Tamandua tetradactyla: one gene and its partners. The protein of the gene in region 1 interacts with the protein of each later gene in a biochemical or structural test. Links are inferred from orthologs where the notes say so. Each region holds a gene or a part of one and is shown in the gene's direction. Other genes may lie near its edges. The genes, in order: NUP214, ATP-dependent RNA helicase DDX19B and NXF1.

What was found.
Region 2: the proteins of NUP214 (region 1) and ATP-dependent RNA helicase DDX19B are reported together in a solved structure, tested with the Homo sapiens proteins (2 studies listed by IntAct, with this or other methods). The link is inferred for Tamandua tetradactyla from reciprocal best matches to the Homo sapiens genes NUP214 and DDX19B.
Region 3: the proteins of NUP214 (region 1) and NXF1 form a complex in vitro, tested with the Homo sapiens proteins (4 studies listed by BioGRID and IntAct). The link is inferred for Tamandua tetradactyla from reciprocal best matches to the Homo sapiens genes NUP214 and NXF1.

What each region holds. Positions count from the first base shown.
Region 1 is NC_135328.1:54,075,545-54,083,226, forward strand, and holds the start of NUP214 (nuclear pore complex protein Nup214), read left to right. Parts: upstream 1-4,597; 5' UTR 4,598-4,751; coding exon 4,752-4,796; intron 4,797-6,806; coding exon 6,807-7,002; intron 7,003-7,657; coding exon 7,658-7,682. Other genes in the region: AIF1L (allograft inflammatory factor 1-like), read left to right, coding at 1,015-1,102. UniProt on the Homo sapiens protein: Part of the nuclear pore complex. Has a critical role in nucleocytoplasmic transport.
Region 2 is NC_135342.1:68,643,554-68,651,428, reverse strand, and holds the start of ATP-dependent RNA helicase DDX19B, read left to right. Parts: upstream 1-4,842; 5' UTR 4,843-4,882; coding exon 4,883-5,056; intron 5,057-7,746; exon of another isoform or gene 7,747-7,786; intron 7,787-7,875. UniProt on the Homo sapiens protein: ATP-dependent RNA helicase involved in mRNA export from the nucleus.
Region 3 is NC_135335.1:11,787,262-11,794,871, forward strand, and holds the start of NXF1 (nuclear RNA export factor 1), read left to right. Parts: upstream 1-4,575; 5' UTR 4,576-4,720; coding exon 4,721-4,748; intron 4,749-4,905; exon of another isoform or gene 4,906-5,089; intron 5,090-6,156; coding exon 6,157-6,340; intron 6,341-6,560; coding exon 6,561-6,714; intron 6,715-7,300; coding exon 7,301-7,384; intron 7,385-7,496; coding exon 7,497-7,601; intron 7,602-7,610. Other genes in the region: STX5 (syntaxin-5), read left to right, coding at 2,435-2,594.

The sequences.
Region 1 (7,682 bases):
GCACATGGTGAACACAGTTAGGGCTTCTCTGTCAGCTGGAAGGGCACATAGCGAGCACAGCATCATCTGCTAGCTTTCTCTCCTGGCTTCCTGTTTTATGAAGCTCCCCGGGAGGCGTTTTCCTTCTTCATCTCCAAAGTGCTGGCTGGTGGACTCTCTGCTTCATGGTGCTGTAGCATTCTCTGCTCTCTCTGAATCTCTTTCATTCTTCAAAATGTTTCCTTTTACATAGTACTCCAGAAACTAATCAAGACCCACTCAAATGGGTCCTCCACCTAATCCAGCTTAACAACCATTATTGATTAAATCACATCTCCAGGGGGGTGATCTAATTACAGTTTCAAACATACAATGCTGAATAGGGATTAGAAGAAGCAGCTGCCTTTACAAAATGGGATTAGGATTAAAACATGGCTTTTCTAGGGTCCATGCATCATTCCAAACCAGCACATTGAGCATCTTGCTTGACTCACCCGCTGGGATGTAGTGGGGCTGGAATTCCAATCCAGCCTGTTTCTCTTCAGAGGTTACCCTCTGAACCCCCACCCTGTGCTTCTGGACTTTACTCTAAGAGCAGTGGGGAGGTTTTTGAAGATCTGAAGAGTTTTTGAAGAGTTTCAAGTAGGGTATTGGCCAGGTTTGTATTTACAAACTTTCTCTTGAACAGAGCTTCAGCCCAGCCTTGTGGTACCTACATGCCAGGCATTGTGTGCAGGGGAAGGTAAAGTCAGAAGTCTGGAGTCTCATCCTGCCTCTGCCTTGGACTACTTGTGTGATTCTGAGAACTCATGGCACCACTTTGCACCTCAGTTTTCTACTCTGGAAAACAGAGTAGCAGTGCCTTTCACACAGCTGCTGCCCTGAGCTTCCATGAGGATCCTGCTGGAGAACAGCTGGGAGGGCATTCTGTTGAGGACTCCACAGACTTGGGGGCTGGGATGATCTTTTCCTGGATTGGGGAAGGAGTCCTAATCTTCTTTTGTTTTGTTTTGTTTTCCTCATCCTCCAAACCAGAGTCATGATGTTTGAAGGAAAAGCCAATGAGAGCAGCCCCAAACCAGTTGGTCCCCCTCCAGAGAGAGACATTGCCAGTCTGCCCTGAGGACCCCTGCTGGACCTGGACCTGCCCCTGCCCTTTCCAGCTGCCTCACCCCCTGCCCCTCCCTCTGGAGCTCCCTGGCCTTCTTGACTCATTGTGATTTGTCTTGTTTGTTTGGTCATTGTGGGTTGGTTGGTTGTTTTCTTTGTGGGACAGAATCAGTGATCTTTTTGTAAAGCACAAATTATCTCCCTTAAAGAGGCTGTAGATGGGGGGGGTGGGGGTGGTCCTGAGCCTTCTGTTCTCTCCCTCTTTTCTCTCCTCCTTTTCCCCTCCTTGTGCAGAAGGGCTGACATTCAACCAAAAATTGCAGGGGATGGGAACAGGGCAGGGAGGCTGGGAGGCTTTGTTCCCCTCCTTTGGAGCTGGCACTGTCTTTCCTTCCAAGTCTCTGAGCCAACCCCAGACTTGTTGGCCTGGCACAGGTGGGGATCCCAGTTCACTTTCAGAAGGCCTAATTCCACCTTTAAGGGAGGATGCTGAGTAAGTCAGGAAAATGAACAATAAAATACTCATGGTAAAAAGTCTGCCCTACCGCTAAGCCAAGAGCTGAGAAATAGAAGATTGCCTTTCTGATCTCAGTCTGCTTAAAACTTGGCTGAACTTCCTCCGTTTGCCTTCCTACCTTACTACACCATTTAGTCAACAGATACTTGTCAACAACCATTATAAGCTCCAAGTCTTCCCATTTTATCCTGACATGTGCTGTGTCTGCTGTGTAACTAATTTCTCCTTTTCCCAATCACCCAAAACTTTGAACCTGGAGATTGGGTTGGGGCATCTGTGTTCTTTATTAGACTCACAGGATTTAAGAGCCCAATCCACCTTGCAGGTTAGCTAAGCCAATCCTCTTGTTTCATAGGTGAGAAAATTGGCAGTCCATAAGGACAAAGTGCCTTGCCCCAGGACAGAGAGTTAATTTGGAGATGGAAAAGTCCAAACTAGAGGCAAGGTCTCATGATCCCCCTGGCCCATGCCTCGTGTCTTCTCAGGACTGCCTCAAGGATGAAAACAAGGAAAGAGGCAGGTAGGGGCGGTCTCCTAGGTCAACACTTGGGTAAAGCTTCTCTCTTCTGAAGGTCCTCTGTGAGGATTAACCCTCCCCAGCCTCAGAGTTTGAGTCAGTGTCACAGTCTGCATTAAGACCAGGCCTACCTCTGCAGTTCTGCATTCTGCAGAGCTTCTGCCAAGTCTTGGAGACACTTTCCTGTCACACTTGACCCCTTTTGGACTGAGCAGAGGCTTCAGCCTTTACCCCTCCCTGTGCAGGGCTTAGACATACTCATTCATTTAACATATTTATTAAGCACCTGCTATGGGCCAAGAACTGAGACTCCAGAAATGAAACAGGACAGACCCATGGAATTTAGAGTCAGATACAGATGATGATGAATGTTAGGAAAGGGGGTGGAACATAGAGGGATGACTGCCTGTAATTCTGGGGTACCTAGACTTGGCCCAAGACTGAGCTACCGTCTGGAGAAGCCTTTGCAAAGCCTTAAGTGGAAAGATCTGGGGGCTGTTGGAGGTTGGGCTCCTTGCACGCTCCTCAGTAACGAATAATCAAGGCTCCAAGGTGCTGCCTCTACACCTTGAGGGGGTAAAGCACCTAGAAGTTGGAAAATGGCCCAGTTGGATTAGTCTGCTGGTCTCAACCAGTTCAGGAGTAAGACTACTTGGACATGACTGGCTGATCTTCAGCCTAAGAAGCTGCTTCAAATGCACAGGCCTAGTTGAAGATTAAACCTCAGCAAAACATTCAACCCTGTATATGTTAAATCCTACTCCCTCCATCCCGCTGGCCTTTTTTGTTTTTTTTTTTTTGCTCCCTAAGATCATTAGGTTAGCAACTGCCTGTCCTCACCTCTTCCCACTACCTCTCTCTGGGACAGGTTGGGACCTCTGAACAAAGTAAAGCCTTCCTTGACTACCCATCACATTCAGTGTTCCTGTTTTACTCAGAGAGGAAGACAGAAATAACTTGGCTTATTTCGGTGGGTTCCATAGCTTGCAAGAAGACAGCAGGAAGACTTGTGAAAGGAGTGCAAGCAAAAGCGTGTCCTGGCTTCTGGAAAGGGCAGGAAAGAAAGTGTCCTTATTGGATAGGGGATATGCTGGGAAATCTCATCAGTTCTTTTACCACTTTTTTGAACTCAACCTCTGGGGGTAGAGGGTCTTGAGAGTGGTCCCTGGGAGAGGGGGTCTGTATGTATTCCAGATTGTGGCTGTCAGCTCCAGGACTCTTACTTCTCTTGGTAAGGGCTCATCTTGAAACCTCAGCTGTTTTATTTCTAAAAGACCAAATCTAATTGTAATGTAACCAATAACTAGGGGATGGCCAATATGGTTTTGTCCCTATGACAAAAGGAAGGAGTTTGTCAGGTAAATTCAAGCGGATGAAGTATGTGTGCATGTGAGTGTGTGTGGTGTGGGAATATCTGCTCTACAGATTGGGAATAAACCAGACAAACTTATCAGCGTCCTGACTGGTGTATTTTGGGGGCAGTTCCTGTGCTCTGCAAAGTCAGAAGAGCTACCTGATATAGAATGACATATAGAATAGTATGGAATGAATGTGTCCTATGTGCCCGGCTTTGTTAAGCTCTGAATTTCATTTACTTCTCCCAACAATGCCATTAGATAGGTTCTTGTTATCCTTGATTTACATATGAGAAGAAGGCTTGGAGCAAAACAAACAAAAAACAGGTGGCAGAACACTTCCTGGGGAGTGTGGGCTCCAAGTTAAGAATCCCTGTCCTAGAGCATTTGTAATTCCACTACAAAAATTTCTTCTATATCTATGTAAATGATTATCAGCATATCCAGATAATCTGAATTCTAATCCTGCCGCCACCATTTTCTGACTGAGGGTCACTAGGGAATTTTCTTAACTTCTGTGTTTCAGTTACCTAATCAGTTAAATGGAATCAATAATCCCTGGGGGTGAGGATGTTTTAAGGATTAACATCCCTAGGGATGAGATAACTTTTCTAAGGTGTTCTGCACAAAGCTCCGAACAAATTTTGTGACCAGGGGTGGATATGGCTCTTGTTCTTAAAATGATTACCTTCAAAGGAGTAAACAAGGCTGGCATATGGTCCCTTTAACCGCCCCATCCAGCCTTCATCCCTAGATACAAAATGGTCTCGGGTGGCGAGGTCCTGTCCCACCCACTTTCTGAACTTCTCTCTGCCTTCGCCCCCAAAGTTTCTCATGAGCTGGAAATGAAGTTCCTAACTGACTTCTGCATCGGAAACAATATCCGCCTACATCCAAGGGTTACCGGGAAGTTTCAAATGAACGATGAGAGAAGGACACTTAGACGTAAGCAACCCACAGAGAAAGCAGCGCGCTCGGCCGGGACTCCAAGCTCCAGGCCGCGAGGCGCGGGTCCCGAGGCCACGCCCCGTACTCGAGCCGCCCAATGGGAGGCATCGGCCCCGAGAGCGCGCGCGACTTCGGGTGTTCCTCAGTCTTGTTAAGGCACGTCGCGAACCGGGGTGCGTGACATCATCAAAACGCGCCGGAAATGCGGAATCCTCTGCGCGCCTCTACCGCTGAGGGAAGGAGTTTAGTCTCGGAGCGTCCTAGGCTCTTGGCGTAAGGCCGCGGGCGGCCTGGGTGGCTGCTTGGACAAACTGAGTGCGGCGCGATGGGAGACGAGATGGATGCGATGATCCCCGAGCGGGAGATGAAGGTCAGAGGCTGTCCGGGGGCTCCCTCCCTTACTCAGTCCTGGCGTTGCCCTGGAGTCCCGCGGAACGGCCGGGTGCCCCGCCTCCTTCTTGAACGTTTTACCGTGTTCAGAGTTCTCATCAGCGGGTCCCGGGGCACGGTGCCGCGTTGCTGGCGTGGTAGTCCCATTGAATGCAGTTTCACGTCCCTGGTTGGTCTTGTTCACGCCTCTTGAATTATGTTGGCTACTTTCATGTAGTAGTCACAGTAGTGGTAACTACTACTCATTAAGCGTTTACTGTGTGCTAGGCACCGTGTAACCATTGTCTCCCTGATTGGTCACAGTATTCCTACGAAATAATTGGTAATATACCCATTTTACAGAGTAGCATATTGAGGTTTGGAAAGTAACTTGCCCAAAGTCGCATTTGACCAGGGGGCTGAAATCCATGTTTATTTTTCTTCATTCTTCATTTGCTACTTCTATAGGGTGGTCCAGACTTGCCTAGCACATAGCTAGGGAATATCACCTAACCTATGGAACTTTTAGTTAACTGGAATAGGAGGACTACTTTGGCACCAGAAATCAGCTTAGTCAGAAAAGTGGGGAAGAACAAGTGGTCCAGATGATGGTAAAGGAATCCCCAGGGATAACCACCAGGATGATATTTCTTAAAAACGTTCTGACAGAATGAAGGTACAGAAAACGAGCTACTTTCTTTTAAATAAGAAACAACTAAAAAGGAGTAAGCTGCAATAAGATTTCAGGCGTTTGTGTGAACAACAAATCATTGAAATGCATTTAAGGGATAGTAGTTTCATATACTTGAGCAGTGATTTCTTCTTTTCCCTTTTGAGAATCACTCTTGTAGTGAGCTACCCTGGAATAATGTTCCTATTCCTCAAATATGGTGGGAAAGAAGAACAGTTTCAGAACAACTGCCTTATGAGATTATAGTTTCCTTTTGAGTTACTTATTACAACAGAAAAGAGAGCTTCTGTGCCTCTTCATCCCACTGGCCCACTATACCCATGTGACCAACACCCAAATGTATTTGACATTATCACGAGAATTACAATAAAGCCTAATAATTTTATTCTGCTTTATTCTATGAATATGATCTCACTTGGAAAGTTGTGTGAATTTCTAATCACTCAGTTGAAATTAGAGAAGAGTATTTCAATTGATCTTTCAGCAAATATGTATTAAATATCTAATCCAAGGTAATTAGTATATGGGGTGCAATAGTGATCCTGTATGAAACGAACAATCTAGTTTTTCTTTTTCTTGAAGGTAAGTTTAGAATTGAAGGGGAAAATTAACCATATAGAATACAATTTAACATAGTGACTGGTATACCTTGGTAGTGCACTTGTGTCATGAGGTGAGGCTGCTGAGGTGGACTGGACAAGCGATATCTAGCCTTGTAGATTGTGTTGAGGATTTTGGACTTGTGTTTTATATGTTCTTCTAGCATCTTGGTTTTGCTTAAAGATCTTGAACTCTAAGTAAGCCAATTCTTGGGATTTGGTCCTCTTTCTGTGGTTATTTTAATATGTGTTTGAGGATTACTGCAGTAGAAGTTAGCACTTATACTGTAGTTGGGTGATGCTTTCGACATTTCACAAATTATTAAGCACTGTTCTGGGTCATGAAATGATACATACATAACGCAAAATAGGGCAAGATTATAAACAAAATGCAGTTTTGCAGTGATTTTGACAGTAAATATAGTAGGAATCAGGAAAAAGAAAAGTTCAACGTGAGCCAGATTAGTCAAGGAAGTCTTCATGAAAGATTTTTTTTTGTTTGCATATTTTCATTTATTTCATTCAACATATAGTACATACTTACTATGCCAGCCACTATGATAAGAGTAGGAAGTTTAAAGACTGCTGAGACACAGTCCTTGGCGTCACAGGATTATATATTTTTGTTGTACTGGAAATTAGGTCTGTTGGCATATATTGACAGTCATGATGTAATTTCCTTTTTGCCCTGAATTGGTCTTGTTTTTATCCTTTGCAATAGGATTTTCAGTTTAGAGCACTGAAGAAAGTGAGAATCTTTGACTCTCCTGAGGAGTTGCCCAAGGGGCGCTCCAGTCTGCTTGCTGTGTCCAATAAGTATGGTCTGGTCTTTGCTGGTGGAGCCAGTGGATTGCAGATTTTTCCTACTAAAAATCTTCTTATTCAAAATAAACCTGGAGATGATCCCAATAAAATTGGTAAGTTACCTGATTTATGTTGCATAATAGAGGAGTGTTGTATAGTGCTAATGTAGTTTCCTTCTCAAGAAATCATTCCAATATTGAAGTTAAACTGCTGTTTTAGTCCTAAAGTTGATTCCCAAGAAGAATAAATTCCAGGTGGGATTCTGAAAAGCTTTTCTAGGTATTCTCTTTGGTCCTTTGTATTTCTCTTCTGTTGAGTAGTTCCTTCAAGCTTAGAGGGAAGAAGAACTTTCCATTATGCTATGCTTTTATTTTAAGATGGTTTGGCTTTCTAGAAGGGTTTTGTCTGTGGCTTTTCAGTTGATACAACAGTACTGTTCAAACAAATGGGAATGTGTAGTATTTGGGAGCATTGTTGCAAAAATGCAGGCACAAGACTTTGTTTTCAGCAAAGAGTAACAACCAAAGTCAGTTTCCCTAGGTTGAATGAGGAAGAGTCCCTGGAATACTTAATGTGTCATTTTACCTCTGTATGAAAGTTAAGTTTTATCTACATAATTAAGTATCAGGTAGGGGTGTGTGTGTGTGTGTGTTTGCGTATGTGTGTTTATTTAGAGGCAAAATTATTTCACATAGAGGATAAAGGAGTTGTCGCTCAATGCTTAAAATATTCCATTTTCTGTTTTGTCTTCTTTTTATGTTTTCATAGTTGATAAAGTCCAAAGTTTGCTAGT
Region 2 (7,875 bases), on another chromosome or scaffold:
TATACAATTTAAAAAGTTAAAAAAAGAAATAAAAAAGATCTGGTCCTAGATACCAACTCTCCCATGACACCTAAGCTACTTTTAGCATCTGTAAAATGGGCTTAGGATATTTATTTTTTCGTTCGCTAACAGGTCAAATGGAGGTGGGTGAATAGTTGCTTTGGGAGCCTCCAAAGGAAGCCTTCACTGAGCATACCATTATCATTTGTCATCTACAATGGTGCTTTTTAAACTGTAAGGTGCCTTAGGGATCACCTGGAAATCTTAAAATGCAGATTCTGATTTAGTGAATGTGGGTGGGGTAGGGACGAAGAGTCTGTATTACTAATGGGCTCCCAGGTGATAGCTATGCTTGATGTCCTGCCAGGAGGGGGGGGGGAATCATTTAACAATAGCTAGGGAGTACTCAAGGATGAGCCTATGTGTTCATATGTAAATATTTATAAATTTGGTCCACTCAGGGTGTATGTGTGTGTGAATTCTTCATTTTATTCACCAATAATTATTCACCAATAAATATCTATTAAGCGTTGGTCCCTGAGAATCAAAATTAAGGAAAGGCGATGCTGCCCGGCGGTCACAAAGCCCCGAATCTAGTGTGCAAGCCAAACATTTTCAAAAGATGACAAAGTTACGCAAAGACGCCAGCTGGGGCCAGTCTTTTGCCCCAAGGTACCCAAGCGCGCTTGTTCAAAGGCTGTACTGTTCCCTCAGCTGATTGGCTGGCAGGTCAGGCTTGCAGGCCTCAGCCAATGAGGTTCGAGCCCAGACAGTGTGGCCAGTGGTGTTGGAGTGTAACCGCCATAGCGATGGCGGGTGCTGCTGGCCACGTGAGAGGCTGGGCCCTGGGAGGGTTTGCACTTCCTCTGCCCGTGGGCGATGTGAGTATCCCTGAGGGCAGAAAGCTTTTTTTTTTTTTTTTTTCAGACTTAGGCATCCTCCTCGACCCCAACTTTTGGGTGAGGGCAGAAATAATAATAATAGCTAACTAATATTTATTGAACTTTTGCCATATGCCTGGCGCTGGGCCAAAAGCCTTAACTGTGTGGTGTCGCTGAATCTTTGAGCTCTGGAGGTGGGTACATAACTGCGTGTTCATAGGAAACTGAGGCTGCGCGAGGTCACATGGAAGTAAGTGCAGGAGGCTGAATCAAATCTAGATGATCGTAATTCCCCTCGCACCACTCACTCCACACCCCACTTTGGAAACCAGGTTCTTTCTCAGCAGGAGACTCATGTTGTGCCGGTATGTTCGGGATGGACGTAGGAGAATCTAGAATCTTGATGCTTGTTCTATGTATTGTTGTTTGTTTAGTAGAGAAAAAGAACACATGGAAAAGGCAAGCAAGAGAATAAGCACCAAATTCAGGATAGTTGTTATATCTTATGATGTGTATAGAGGGGGCTTCAGTTGACTCTTAGTTTACTTTCTTAAGTCCTGTCATGGGAACCTACATGTTTATCATTCCCTTTCTTGTTGATCTGGAATACTTTTAATTTTAAAAGGAAAACATGCACGTGAAAAAAAAATTGAGGATGAAGTGTACACTAGGGAAAGGAAGTCTTCTCCCATCTGTCTTTTAGAGCCTCCCACCAAAGCAGCCAGTTATCATTTTGTGTGTGTTTATCTATGCATTGTCTATTTTATATGCCAGCATATGTGAGTTTTTCTTGTTTTCTGCACAGATAGGGCCTACTATATATAGTCTTGCCCGTTGATGATTTAATTTTAAACCTCATTAAACTTTTTTTGAAAATTCCTTAACTTCCTTTAGTCCTGTGAAGCAGTGTCATTTCTCTGGCAAAGTATTCCCACGGGTTGCTTCTGAGTTGTGATAGGATAAGATGTAGGTGATGGTTCCCAGGCTGTCTGCCATTTTTTGTACATCCTCGCCTGCAGAGTCCAAAAAAAAACACTTCCCCAGATTACCCCCCCTAAATGATGCAGGAGAAAAAAGCAATTATGGCAAGTAGAGTATTCTCTGGAACTGCTTTACCTTTCCTCAAGACGTTTTTACTCAAACCCTACAGGTAAATTCCACATAGAGCCCCACTATTAATTTGAAATTGACTTATAGTGGAATATTGGCGAAGTGAGAAAAGCTGGGATTGATTTTCTCATGTTACAGTAACGTGCCCGGGTTCTTTCTAGTGAAGTAATAAGGAGAAAGAAGCTTGTTTGATTTCAGTTAGGGAAAAGCAGGTGTCCTGGCCTGCAGGGGCCTTTCTAGCCAATTGACTGGAAAGCACTAGGCATGGAATGGGACATGAACTTTATTATAGTAATTTAATTACAGGAGTGAAAGAAAGAAGTCAGTCTGGAAATCAAGCTCTTCTATACCAGCAGCCGGTATAGAGCTCAAGGTGAAAGTGTTTCACAATTAAGTGGGAATTAGCAGGACCAGTTATAGGGGCCCAAGACAAAGACAGCAGAGAGGACTCAGTGAAAAAGATTATAGGGAAACATGATTATCAGAAGGGAGGGTAAGGTACAAATTAACATTTTACACAGAGAGGGGGCTGGGTTCTTGAGTACATTGATCAACTGCACATTCTTCCTTTGTAAAGAGGTTAGCTGAAACATTAACAGACCCAGGCCGTGCAAGCAGCTGCGTGCTTTAGAGTGTCACAGACACTCAGGGAATGGCTCTGCCCCTGGGCTTCCACGGCAAGGGTCGCTCAATCCTTCTACCTCTTCTAAAAACTCATGTTATCACAAGTAGTGTGGACAACCAAAGCTATAGGCTGAGCCCCCAGTCTTGGGGTTTGTTCATATGAAACTTAACTCTGCAAAGGATAGGTCAAGCCTACTTAAAATTAGGCCTAAGAGTCACCCCCAAGAGAGCCTCTTTTGTTGCTCAGATGTGGCCTCTCTCTCCAGCCAACACAACAAGCAAACTCACCACCCTCCCCCTCTCTACGTGGGACATGACTCCCAGAGGTGTGGACCTTCCTGGCAACGTGGGACAGAAATCCTAGAATGAGCTGAGACAGCATCAAGGGATTGAGAAAAACCCTTCTCACCCCCAAAAGGGGGATGAGTGAAATGAGACAAAGTGTCAGTGGCTGAGAGATTCCAAACAGAGTCGAGAGGTTATCCTGGAGGTTATTCTTATGCATCAAGTAGATGTCATCTTGTTATTCAAGATGTAATGGAGCAGCTGGAGGGAACTGCCTGAAAATGTAGAGCTGTGTTCCAGTAGCCATGTTTCTTGATGATGACTGAATAATGATACAGCTTTCACAATGTGACTGTGTGATTGTGAAAACCTTGTGTCTGACGCTCCTTTTATCTACCTTGTCAACAGATGAGTAGAACATACGGAATAAAAATAAATAATAGGGAGAACAAATGCTAAAATAAATTTAGTTTAAATGCTAGTGATCAATGAAAGCAAGGGGTAAGGGGTATGGTAGGTACAATCTTTTTTTTTTTCTTTCCTGTGTTCATTTTATTTCTTTTTCTATTGTCTTTTTATTTCTTTTTCTGAATTAATGCAAATGTTCTAAGAAATGATGAATATGCAACTAAGTGATGATATTGTGATTTACTGATTATGTATGTTGTTTCTTTATTTTTTTAATTAATAAATAAATTTTCAAAAAAGAAACCAGATATTTATAATCCATATTAGATGTGATGATGGGATTACAAATAAAAAAAATTTAGTTTGAAATGCTAGTGATCAATGAAAGGGAGGGGTAAGGGGTATGGTATGTATAAATTTTTTTTTCTGTTTTCGTTTTATTTCTTTCTCTGAATAGATGCAAATGTTCTAAGAAATGATCATGATGATGAATATGCAACTATGTGATAATATTGTGAATTACTGATTGTATATGTAGAACAGAATGATCAAAATATAGGAATATTTGCATTTGTATTGTGTTTTTCGGTATTTAAAAAAATAAAATAAAGTAAATTAAAAAAAAATGATCATGGTGATGAACAAACTACTATGTGATGATATTTTGAGCCACTGATTGTACACCATATATGGAATGTTTGTATGTTAAGGATGTTTGTTTTTGTATGTTGTTTTGGTTTGTCAATAAAAAAAAGAACATTCAAAACGGTAAATAAATAACATAATATTAAAAAAAAAAACTCGAATTACTTCTTTTAAAAAATTCCCTCAGTCACACAGCCCTTAAGTAGGAGAATAGGGATTCTAACCTAGGCACAGCTCACTCCTTTGCCTGTTAAGGTGCCCTACCTTTTCTTCCACCTCATACCTGCCTCTTCATCCCTTTCTCTGGTCAATGCCCGCCTCCCCTGCCCTCTGTCCTCCCTAGTGTCTGTGCAGTTCTACAAATCCACCACTCTTTGTTATGTCTTATCCTCTTCCGGGCCATTTTTTCCCTTGCACCTTCCTGGAGTATTTTTAAAGATTAAATTCCTATAAGTGGTGTTGCCACATTGTGGGACAAATACTTACCAAGTGGTATTTGAGAGAACTGATTCCTAATAATTCTGGTCAACACAAGGACCTTTTAAATTACCCGCCTGAAAAGTGGAAATAATATCTACTTGTTTCAGCATGCATTTTGGTGGCTGTCTGCAATGGTTGTTTTCTGTTTTACTACATTCAGTTTCTCTGAGTATCTTCTATGCCACTGTGCTGGGCCGGAATATGGTTTTATTCTTTGGATAGACAACCAGTCGTTTCTATCCAAAGCTTGGGAGCTTGGGAACTTTTAGATAGCTATTTCAGGCCGCGGTTCTGGACTTTTGATAGGAAAGCTTGAGCTGCGCAAGGGAAAAGAGTGCCGGCCTGGAGGGGACACAATCGACAGCCCTGAAGGGGCGAGAGACTGCCTAACCGGCGCGGACCTTGACGTCACCGCAAAGCGCTGCTTCCTGTTCCCAGCCCCTTGGCGAATGACTTCCCCTGCTACGGGGTTGAAGCCTGACTTACCAGGATCCCCCGGAACCCACGATCGCGCCGTGCCATCCTGCGAGTCCGCCAGGGCAGGGGTCCCACCCGCCCCTGGGACTATGGCCACCGACTCCTGGGCCCTGGCAGTGGACCAGCAGGAGGCAGCGGCTGAGTCGGTGAGTTGGCTTCAGTAGTAAAGGAGTCAGGGGCCAGTTCTGGACGGGGATTTAATCCCCCAGGGAGTAGAATAGGGATGGAGCCTGGACCCTAAAATGACTTTGTTTACCTATCCGTACTGGAATAAGGATTGATTGTAGATTGTACTCACCGCCCCCTCCCCCCGCCCTGGATTGCAGTTACCTTTGTATATGTCATCCTCCACCTCCACATTCTGAGATTCTTAGGGTCAGAGACCATGACTTACTCAAATTATTGTGTCCCCTCAGTTTGCTCAGTGATGATGCATTATTGACTCAGTAGGTCTGGTAGTCAGTAAATCCTCTTCTGATCCACTTAACTTTGTTCGATTTTCTGATTCTGACACACAGTAAGCAGAATATGTCAGGTATTACTGTATAGATTTCACTTCTCCAGGCTGAGTAACCTAAGTTCTGATAGTGCTTTGAACTAACTTCTGTTAGTCCTGTTTTCTGTGACTTCCTCCAGAATAAGGGCCTTGTCTTATTTTTTATAACATAAAAAATGTTATACATGCACAAAGTTTAAAGAGTCAGATAGTTTTATAAACAGTGGTTCCCACCACCACCGATTTTCCATCCTCCCCCCCCCCCCAGAGGAGAGGCAACTACTTTTTTCTCTTGAAACTGATTGACAGTATCTACCACCTTTTTCTCTGAATAACATGCTTGTTTTGTAACTTTCTTGAGTTTTCAGTTTTCAGTATTTATTGATTTGGGCTCTTTTTCTTCCATCCTTCCTCCCTGACCACACATATATACTCTCCCATTCTCCATCTTTTCAATGTATTATATTGAAATTTTAGTTAGAGCATCGTTAGATCAAGAGGCACTTGCCTTTAGCCTCTCTAATACACCTTAAACTCAAAAGGGGATATCTATAAAATGCGTAAGAATAACCTCCAGGATAACCTCTTGACTCTGTTTGAAATCTCTCAGCCACTGACACTTTATTTTGTCTCGTTTCTCTCTTCCCCCTTTCAGCCAAGAAGGTTTTCTCAGCCCCTTGATGCTGAGTCCCAGCTCATTATAGGATTTCTGTCCCATGTTGCCAGGGAAGTTTACACCCCGGGAGTCATGTCCCATGTAGAGAGGGGAAGGGCCGTGAGTTTGCTTGAAATGTTGGCTGAAAGAGAGGCCACATCTGAGCAACAAAAGAGGTTCTCTGGGGGTGACTCTTAGGCCTAGTTTTAAGTAGACTTAGTCTATCCTTTGCAGGGATATGTTTCATATGAACAAACCCCAAGATTGGGGTGGGGGGGTGGGGCTTGGCCTCTTGGTTTGGTTGTCCCCACTACTTGCAAGAATATTGAGAATTCTCCAAATGGGGAAGTTGAATTTTCCCCCTTTCTTGCCATTCCCCCAAGGGGACTTTGCAAATACTTCTTTATTCACTATTCAAATCGATCTTCTATCTTTCTTTCTGGTTTCATTTGTGCCCCAGGTCTCCTCCTTCTATCATTCTCACATTCAGCTTCATTAGGTGTTCTAACATTATTGTACTACAATTAGGTAGTATTGTGCTGTCCATTTCTGAATTTTTACAGTCAGTCCTGTTGCACAGTCTGTATCCCTTCAGCTCCAATTACCCAAAATCGACCCTATTTCTATCTCCTGATAGCCTCTGTTAACTCAAATTCTCCAAGTTCATTCATTAATGTTAGTTCAAATCAGTGAGACCATACAGTATTTGTCCTTTTGATTCTGGCTAATCTCACTCAGCATAATGTCCTCAAGGTCTATCCATGTTGTTACATGCTTCATGACTTTATTCTGTCTTACAGCTGCATAATATTCCATCGTATTTGTATATCACAGCTTATTTAGCCACTTGTCTGTTGATGGACATTTGGGCTGTTTCCATCTCTTGGCAACTGTAAATAATGCTGCTATAAACATTGGTGTGCAAATATCCGTTTGTGTTCTTGCCCTCATGTCCTCTGAGTAGATACCTAGCAATGGTATTGTTGGATCATATGGCAACTCTGTACTTAGCTTCCTGAGGAACCACCACACTGTCTTCACAGCAGTTGTACTATTTGACATTCCTACCAATCGTGAATAAGTGTACCTCTTTCTCCACATCCTCTCCAGCACTTGTCATTTCTGTTTTTTTTTGATAATGGCCATTCTAGTGGGTGTGAGATAATATCTCATTGTGGTTTTGATTTGCATTTCCCTGATAGCCAGGGAAGTTGAGCATCTTTTCATGTGCTTTTTAGCCGTTCGTATTTCCCCTTTTGAGAAGTGTCTGTTCATGTCTTTTGCCCATTTTATAATTGGGTTATTGTGTTTTTGTTGTTGAGTTAAACAATCTCTGTATATATTCTGGATACTAGACCCTTATTTGATATATCATTTCCAAATATTATCTCCCATTGTGTAGGCTGTCTTTTTACTTTCTTGACATAGTTTTTTGATGCACAAAAGTGTTTAATTTTGAGGAGTTCCCATTTATCTATGTCTTTCTTCAATGCTCGTGCTTTGGGTGTAAGATCTAGAAAACCACCTCCTATTAAAAGGTTTATAAGATATCTCCCTACATTTTCTTCTAAAAATTTTTATGGTCTTAGATCTAATGTTTAAGTCTTTGATCCATTGTGAGTTAATTTTTGTATAGGGTGTGAGATATGGATCTTCTTTCATTCTTTTACGTGTGGATATCCAGTTCTCCAAGCACCATTTATTGAAGAGACTGTTCTGTCCCAGGTGAGTTGGCTTGACTGCCTTATCAAAGATCAGTTGACCAGGGTGTGCTACGGTGGCTCAGCTTGCAGAGTTCTCGCCTGCCATGCTGG
Region 3 (7,610 bases), on another chromosome or scaffold:
GGCTTGAGTCTGTGTGAATGTCCAACACTCTAGCCATATTATGATCCTTGCCTGCATCATTTTGTTAGACTCTTCTACATTTACTAGCTAGCATTCTTCTGGAAAGAAGAGGCATTCTTTTTCTTTAAGTATCACTGTGGAATCATGGATTTCTTTTCTTTTTTTTTTTATTTAATGTATCATAATCCGTTATCACTATTCTTTTATGGTGATCACTTCAAGTCATATGGAGCCACTTCAAGTCAGTTTCTGTGTCCTCTGCACATAGCTTTCATTACTCTCAATCATATAAAATTTGAGGAGAAACAAATCCAGAAAACTAAATCCCAGGCATCCTAATCATGATCCAAGTAATCTTTCTAGGTTTTGGGGTACCATCTTCTTTGGGGTTCAACTTTTTCTTTTTTTGTCCCCAGTTTCTCATACTCATTTTATAGTGCTCTGGTTTCCATTATGTGTTTTTTCCACTCAGCCAGACTCCAACTTTTTACTGTTTGATTCCCTTCCTCTGTAGTTTTTCTTTCTTTCAGAAAACATTCCTGTGTCTTTTTCCCCTTTGCCAACCTTTCCCTTTTCTGCTTTCTTCAGCCTTCTCCTTCCCAAGCCATTCCTTTCATTTCCGTTTTCTAATTCCCCTGCTATTTCCTCTGAATATCCCATTTGTATTAATTTGCTAAAGCTGTTGGAATGCAATATACCAGAAATGAATGGAATGGCTTTTAAAATGGGAATTTATTAAGTTGCAAGTTTACAGTTCTAAGGCCATGAGATTATGCAAACTAAGGCATCCAGAGAAAGATACCGATACTCCAAAGAAAGGCCAATGTCTGCTGGTCCTTGTTCCTGATTCTATTGCTTCTAGCTTCTGATATCAGTGGTTTCCTCTCTAAGCATCTGTGGGCCTTCACTTAGCTCCTCTGGGAAATAGCTCTGGGTTTTGGCTTGTGTAATATCTCATGGGAAGGCACATGGTGATGTCTGCTGGGCTCTGCCCATGTCTAGGCATCTGCTCTCCAAGTTGGTACTCCATGTATCTCCAAACATCCGTGTTTCTGTCCGCTCTGAAGCAACTCTTCTCCAAGGGTCTACATCTGAAGTGTCTCTAAAATGTTTCCCCTTTTAAAGGACTCTAGTAAACTAATCAAGGCTCACTTTGAATGGGTAGAGTCACATCTCCATCTAATCAAAAGATCACACCCACAAATTGCATAGGTCATCCTCCTTGGAAAGAATCTAATCAAAGGTTTCCACCCTAAACAATAGGTCTGGCCTCACAAGATTGGATCAGGATTAAACTGGCTTTTCTGGGATATATAATAGTTTAAAACCAGCAACACCTTTGAGTCCTAATTTTTTCACCACCAGAGTTCCCCTCTGTCAATTTTCAATCATAGACTCATTGAAAAAATTATATATACCAGATTGCATTTATTTTTCCCAAGCAAAGCCATTTGTAATTGTTGATTTGAGCTTTATTCAGTATGAGATAACAAATGCCCCCACACTGAGAAATGTAATTAAAGCCAAAGCTAGGAAACCTGATACTTTAGTTAGGCCTCTTAACATTACTGGGGAATTACAATTCAGGTTCCTGTATTTGAGACATTGAGATTAGCTCACACCAGTGTTCATGTCGGCCTACCTACGCCTACACCGTTGGGCTTGCAACCACGGGCCCAGCCTCTTTTGTCACTTTCCAGTTGGATTGTCAGGCTCCTCCAGTTTTTTCATGCCCACAACTCTCAAAAGCCTCTGTTGCCAGGGCTTTCCACTGCAATGACCAGAGTTTGTATTCGGTTTATAGGATAGTAACTGTAGGTGACTGGAAAATATTTTATTTGCCTCAGCAATTTCTCCTGAGATTGTCCTTCCTCTGAAGACTTCGCTATATCCTAAAGAGACATATGTTTTCCTAATGTAGGGTTTTTCTTATCCCCTGCCTTCCTGTTCATATCATTAATTTTTATCTTCCCATCTTAGAACTAGGATTTCCTGACTGTAATGGTCTGTGAACTTCTAAGTGCATTTCATTGTCATTAGACAAAATTCAGTAAATACTGATGAGCAAAAAATTCTAATAGCTAACATTTTGGGGGCTTTTACTGTGGGTTAAAACTGACAGTTCTGAGAGGTTGGGTTTGTGTTATCCTTATTTTGCAGGCAAGTAAAACAGACTCAAGGTTAAATCACTGGCTTAGGGTCATTAAACCAGAGGTGAAACTTCATTATATATCCTTTAGGGCATTTTCTGTTTACAAATATATATATATATATATATATACACACACACACACACATAAATGGTATCATATTGTATATCGACCCTTTTGTCCCCACGTACCATGTCCATCTTTCTATGTCAATAAATACACTTCAACAGCATTCTTTTTAATCCAGTGTCCTTCTGTTTCCTCTTCTCCCGGCCCTGTCCCAGGATCGACGAGAACGTGCTGGGAGCCCAGCTGGATGTTGATGCTGCCCACTCAGAGATCCTCAAGTACTTCCAGTCAGTCACCTCCAACCGGTGGCTCATGGTCAAAATCTTCCTCATCCTCATTGTCTTCTTCATCATCTTTGTGGTCTTCCTTGCCTGAATCCTCTCCACTCTGAGGCACTCCATGGGGGGTTGAAGCCCACCTGGGGGGGCAGGTGGCCATTGCTGCCACTGAGCCTGTACAGGGTGCTTGGAAGAAAGGCCCTGTTTCCCTGGAACTGCTAAGAATGGCCACTGCCCCTTGATCCTCCAACCATGTTTTGCCTCTGGCTATCCTGCCTCTCCCCTAACACCCCCAGACCCACAAACCACACAGGGTTCTGGTTTTGGACTCTGTTGTGAAGTGGCTGGAAGGGAGCAGAGGCTAGCTGGGGGCCAGTGGGGAGGCTGCCTCCACTAGGAAATTTTTATAAACCCCCCACAGCCTCTCTGAAAAGAAACTGGGAGCAAGGGGAAGTGATGACCTTCCCTGCCTTCTGAGAGTGAGGAGAGGAAGAGAAACTGCCCCAGGGACCAACTTTCCCATCTGGGTTAGAACTTGACCTGTTTATTTTTCCTCTCTTCACTAAGTGAGGCAGAGGGCCCTGAGCCCTTTGGCTGCCTGCACAACCCCCCCAACATTGGCTGCTAGTGACTCTCAGAATGCCAAATGCACTGCAGCCTGTTTTCTTCCAATTACAGAAAGACTGTCAGCCTCACTAGCCATGTCGTCATTTCTGGGTGGGAGCGTCGAAGGGCCTACCTAGGCAGTGAGTGGGCTGAGCCCACTGCCCAGTAACGGAACTGAAAGGGATCAGCTAATGGTTCAGAGGGGCCCCACAGCTGACCTTTGCAGCCTTTGGCGTCTGTACCACACAGCTGCCTCCAGCCATGTGATTACAAAGTGCGGTAGCACCTAATTTGAATGGAAACTTCATATCAAAGGAGGAGGGGATTCCCTGATTGGTGGTAACTTCCAGGACTGCCTTGAGCAGCAGTATTTGGACCGGTTTCATCTTAATCCTTTAACCTGTTGGCCCCAATTCAGAGCTCTGTCCGCTGCCAGGAGCGGAAGGTGAATTTGTTCCTGCGGCGGCTGAATCTCTTAGTTCCCATTAAAGTCTTCACCAAATCCAAACTAGTCACAGGAGAATGGAGAGAGACCTGCCCAGAATACCCCCTCTACTAGGAGCTTAATGTGCTTCTTTATCTTTCTTGACCAGGACCCACAACCACACCATTCTGAGATCACTTGAGTGAGTGCCCTGGTTCACACAAAACTCAAGCCGTAGAGACTGCAGTTGGCCATACTCAGCCTGTCCTAGTTCTTTTGGGGGTCTAGGGAAGTCCATGGTTTTTCCACCCCCGGCATTTACAGATTTCCTCTTGTCTTGGCTTCTCTTCCATCGCTTGTACCTCCACCATATACTCAGTCCACATGTGATGTGGGCCTGGCACAGTACACCAGTAGCGATTGGGTTGGTTTGTGAAGAGGAATGTCGCCGAAGCCTGTTATAAATGCAGTCCCATTTAATTGGGCAACTCTCGGAGCATGGTTAAAACAAGTTATTTCACAAGTATTTGTTGTTACTTGGTGCCATGCATGGTACTGGGCCCGGCGCTGGAGAAAAAAGCCATGGAGTTCACATTCTAGAGTTTGATTTCGTGCTTATTAATCCAGTTTACAGAATGGGAAAGAGCCCCAAGGTCAGCAGCCGATAAAGAGCTGAGCCGAGACTTTTAAACACTAGCTGAATTCGGCGAGGTGTCGGTAAGCGATCACTCGCTCCGAGGTCCGGGACTCCCATTCCTCAGTATCCTTTCGGGCCGCCCCTCGTCCGCCTTCCTCTCGGATTTCTGGACTGGAGCACCCCGAGTGCCATTGTTCTGCTCTTTGCTCCGGCACTAACTCTGGAAGTCTGCAGACGGATGAAAGGAGGTGGTGGTGGTAGGCTGGCAGCAAATCCTGGGCTTGGAAAGCTCAGTCGAGCGAGGCGTGGGAGGGACAAGACCCGACTCCTAAGCGTCCGCCTTCTGAAGTGCGCACGCGCAGGCAGGCCCCGCCCCGCCCCGCCCCCAGAGGCTCCGCCCACAACGCCGTGACGTCAGTAGCGCGAGACGTACTTCGCCGAATAAATGCTGTGGCGCCCGGCGTAGAAGCGCTTCGGCCCTTAGCTACTGGTTCAGTTTGGACGTTTGGCGGCTTCCTGGGCAGCGCTTCAGCCTGTCCCTGCCTCTCTCTGTACCATGGCGGACGAAGGGAAGTCGTACAGTGGTAAGTGCTGGCTTTCGGTGGCGAAGCGGAGCGATTTGGTGCCCGGGTGGGCGGCGCCGGCCTAGGCCGCAGCCCCAGGTGATGAGGCCGCTCGCGACCCGAAGTCCGCGGGGAGCGGCGGCGTGGGGCGGGTGGGGCGGGCCGCCGGGGACCAGGCAGCCCGGAAGGGGATCTCGGCCGAACTCGAGGATGGACCCCGGGGTACGCGACTCCGGAGTCCTGGTGTTGTGAGGACCTGCGGCTCGAAGCAAAGTAGTTCAGGGATGGGGTGACGAGAATCCTTTAAACTTTGTGGGTGATTGATGCTGGTCAGTTCAGTTTGGCGACCAGACTCTTTTAATGTGAGTGACTCAGTGCTCGCTCTTGGGCTGTCCTGGTACCCTATCTCCTACCGCGACTAAATGAGGACCTGCGGCTCTCATTTAGTATTTTAGCTTTTTTACACACCGTCTCAATGTTCTAGTCCGCCTGAGTTTTAGTTCAGTGTTGTGGTCAGGGTCTCTAGGCAGCCGAGGTTTGCATCCTCGTTCGACTAGGTCAAGCTTTAGTGAGTTACTTAAATTCTCAGACCTCATTTTCCACCTCTTTAATGAGGGTAGAAGCAACAGCTACCTTCAAAGGTGTGTGTGTGTGTGTGAGAGAGAGAGTATGTGTGTGTTTAAATGAGATCATTTCTATCAAGGGCCTGAAACATAGCACCTGGCAAGGGAGAAAGCTCTCAGTAAATGTTAGCTGCTGTTATCTTTTTTTTTTTTTTCCTAGAGTCCTTTTTGAGGCTCAGTGTCGGCATTAGGCAGACATGTTTAGGCGTCACAGGACTTTTTTAAAGAAACTCCTGTCCACCTAGATTTAAAGAGGGTCATATTCCTGGAGAACATTCCTGGACCCTTGGTTACTAGAGCCTGAGTCTAGGAGTTGTGTCCTGTGTTAAAAGGCATCTCAGGCAGAGGAAAAGGAGCACTCAGGAAATATGAGTAGCAGTATAATAGCAGGGAGATGTTTTAGGTTGGGCAGATTTTGAGTGACATCTGTAACGCACAGGCAGGAGAAATGTAGGTTACTGAGTGCTGATGTAATCATTGTGATTGATTCGTTTTAGGATGTGTCAGAGAATTTGCCTTCCAAAATTTGGGTGGGATTGAGTCGATTTGATAGATTGAGAGAGAACAGTTTGGGTGACTCTCTCAGTCTATCAAATCTTCATTTTTCAGAAACGCTGTGCAGTTTTCCAAGAATTTTTCTGATGTTTCCATCTCGTAGAGAGGGTTCTTTCTTCTGGACAGGCAGAGGAATTTGGGTGGAGGTGGCTTCTGTTGTTAGTATGTGTCTCCTCCAATAGTGCAGGATAATAGCTCCTGTAATTGCTGATGATGTATTTTCTAACTTGTGTTCCTGTTTCCAACTCTAGAGCATGATGACCGTGTTAATTTCCCTCAAAGAAGAAAGAAAGGCCGGGGTCCTTTCCGGTGGAAGTGTGGTGAAGGGAATCGTCGGTCTGGACGAGGTGGTTCTGGTGTTCGATCTTCCCGCATTGAGGAAGATGATGGAGATGTACCAATGAGTGATGCCCAAGATGGTCCCCGAGTACGATAGTAAGTGGCCAGTTGATCTGGTTTGAATTTAGTGACACACTAGATGATGCAGCCCTGCAACTGCCCATGTTATTTCTCTTTCCCACTTGGAAGACTGATAAATACTAGATCAGCTTAATGGATGAATAGTTTTAGTTACATCTCTGACAGCAGTGTAGGAAAGTCTTTGAGAAGGCTTAAAGTTGCAAATATGGACTTTTTTTCTCTCTGCTTCCCCCAGCACCCCGTATGCTGCCCGACCCAACCGTCGGGGTGATAATTGGCGTGATCGAGACCGTATCCATGTTACTGTACGGAGAGACAGGGCTTCTTCGGATAGAGGAACGGCTGGCACCAGCCAGGATGGGACCTTGAAGAACTGGTTCAAGATTACAGTGAGTACTTTTGGGAAAGTAGATGGTGCGGCTGAGACTGGGGGCTGGGCCCACGGAGAATGTGTTTAACTCCAGAGAATCAGTCTTTCTGGCTGTGACCTCCACAGTTTGATGCCTGTCCTTTTTGCTGAGGATCAGTATCTTTGAACACCTAAGAGTGGGTTGAAAGAAGGGATAGAAGAGGACAGGGAGGATGGGGGAGGCCCTCAAAAGGTAAGCATGGTAACTGTGGTCAGGAGTTGGAGTAACTCCTCTGGATGTCTCCTTTTGGCTCAGGCCCAGTGTGGAGTTGACCAGGTGTGGGAGTTGGAGTTCCTGGAGTTCTGTGAGGGGTAGGCAATGTATAAATAATATCTTGATACTTTTTTATAACCCAGATTTTTTATCCTTTGGAGAAATAATAATTTTAACTGGACAGAAAGAAGATTAAGGAGTCCATGTATGGCTCAGATAGAAAAACATATGGCTGGTCCTTTCTTTAGAAAATCTTTTAAAGCTTGGCAGAAGGTCTGAAAGGAACCTTCAAGTCTGCTTTTCAGCCTTAGTTGCATATTGTTCCTTTTCTTTCTCTTTCTCTTATTTCTAGATTCCTTACGGCAGAAAATATGACAAGTCATGGCTATTGAACTTGATTCAGAGCAAGTGCCGTGTCCCTTTCACACCCATCGAGGTAAGACAAGGCCTGAGTGGCAGGCTGCCTGGGCATCAGGGAGGGTGGAGGGGGCAAGATAGACAAGTGTTTCTGGGCTCCAGATCTAATCCTGTTATTTCTCTTCTTGCAGTTTCACTATGAGAACAGTCGGGCCCAGTTTTTTGTTGAGGATGCCAGCACTGCTTCTGCATTGAAGGCTGTGAACTATAAGATTTTGGATCGGGAAAATCGACGGGTACATGTG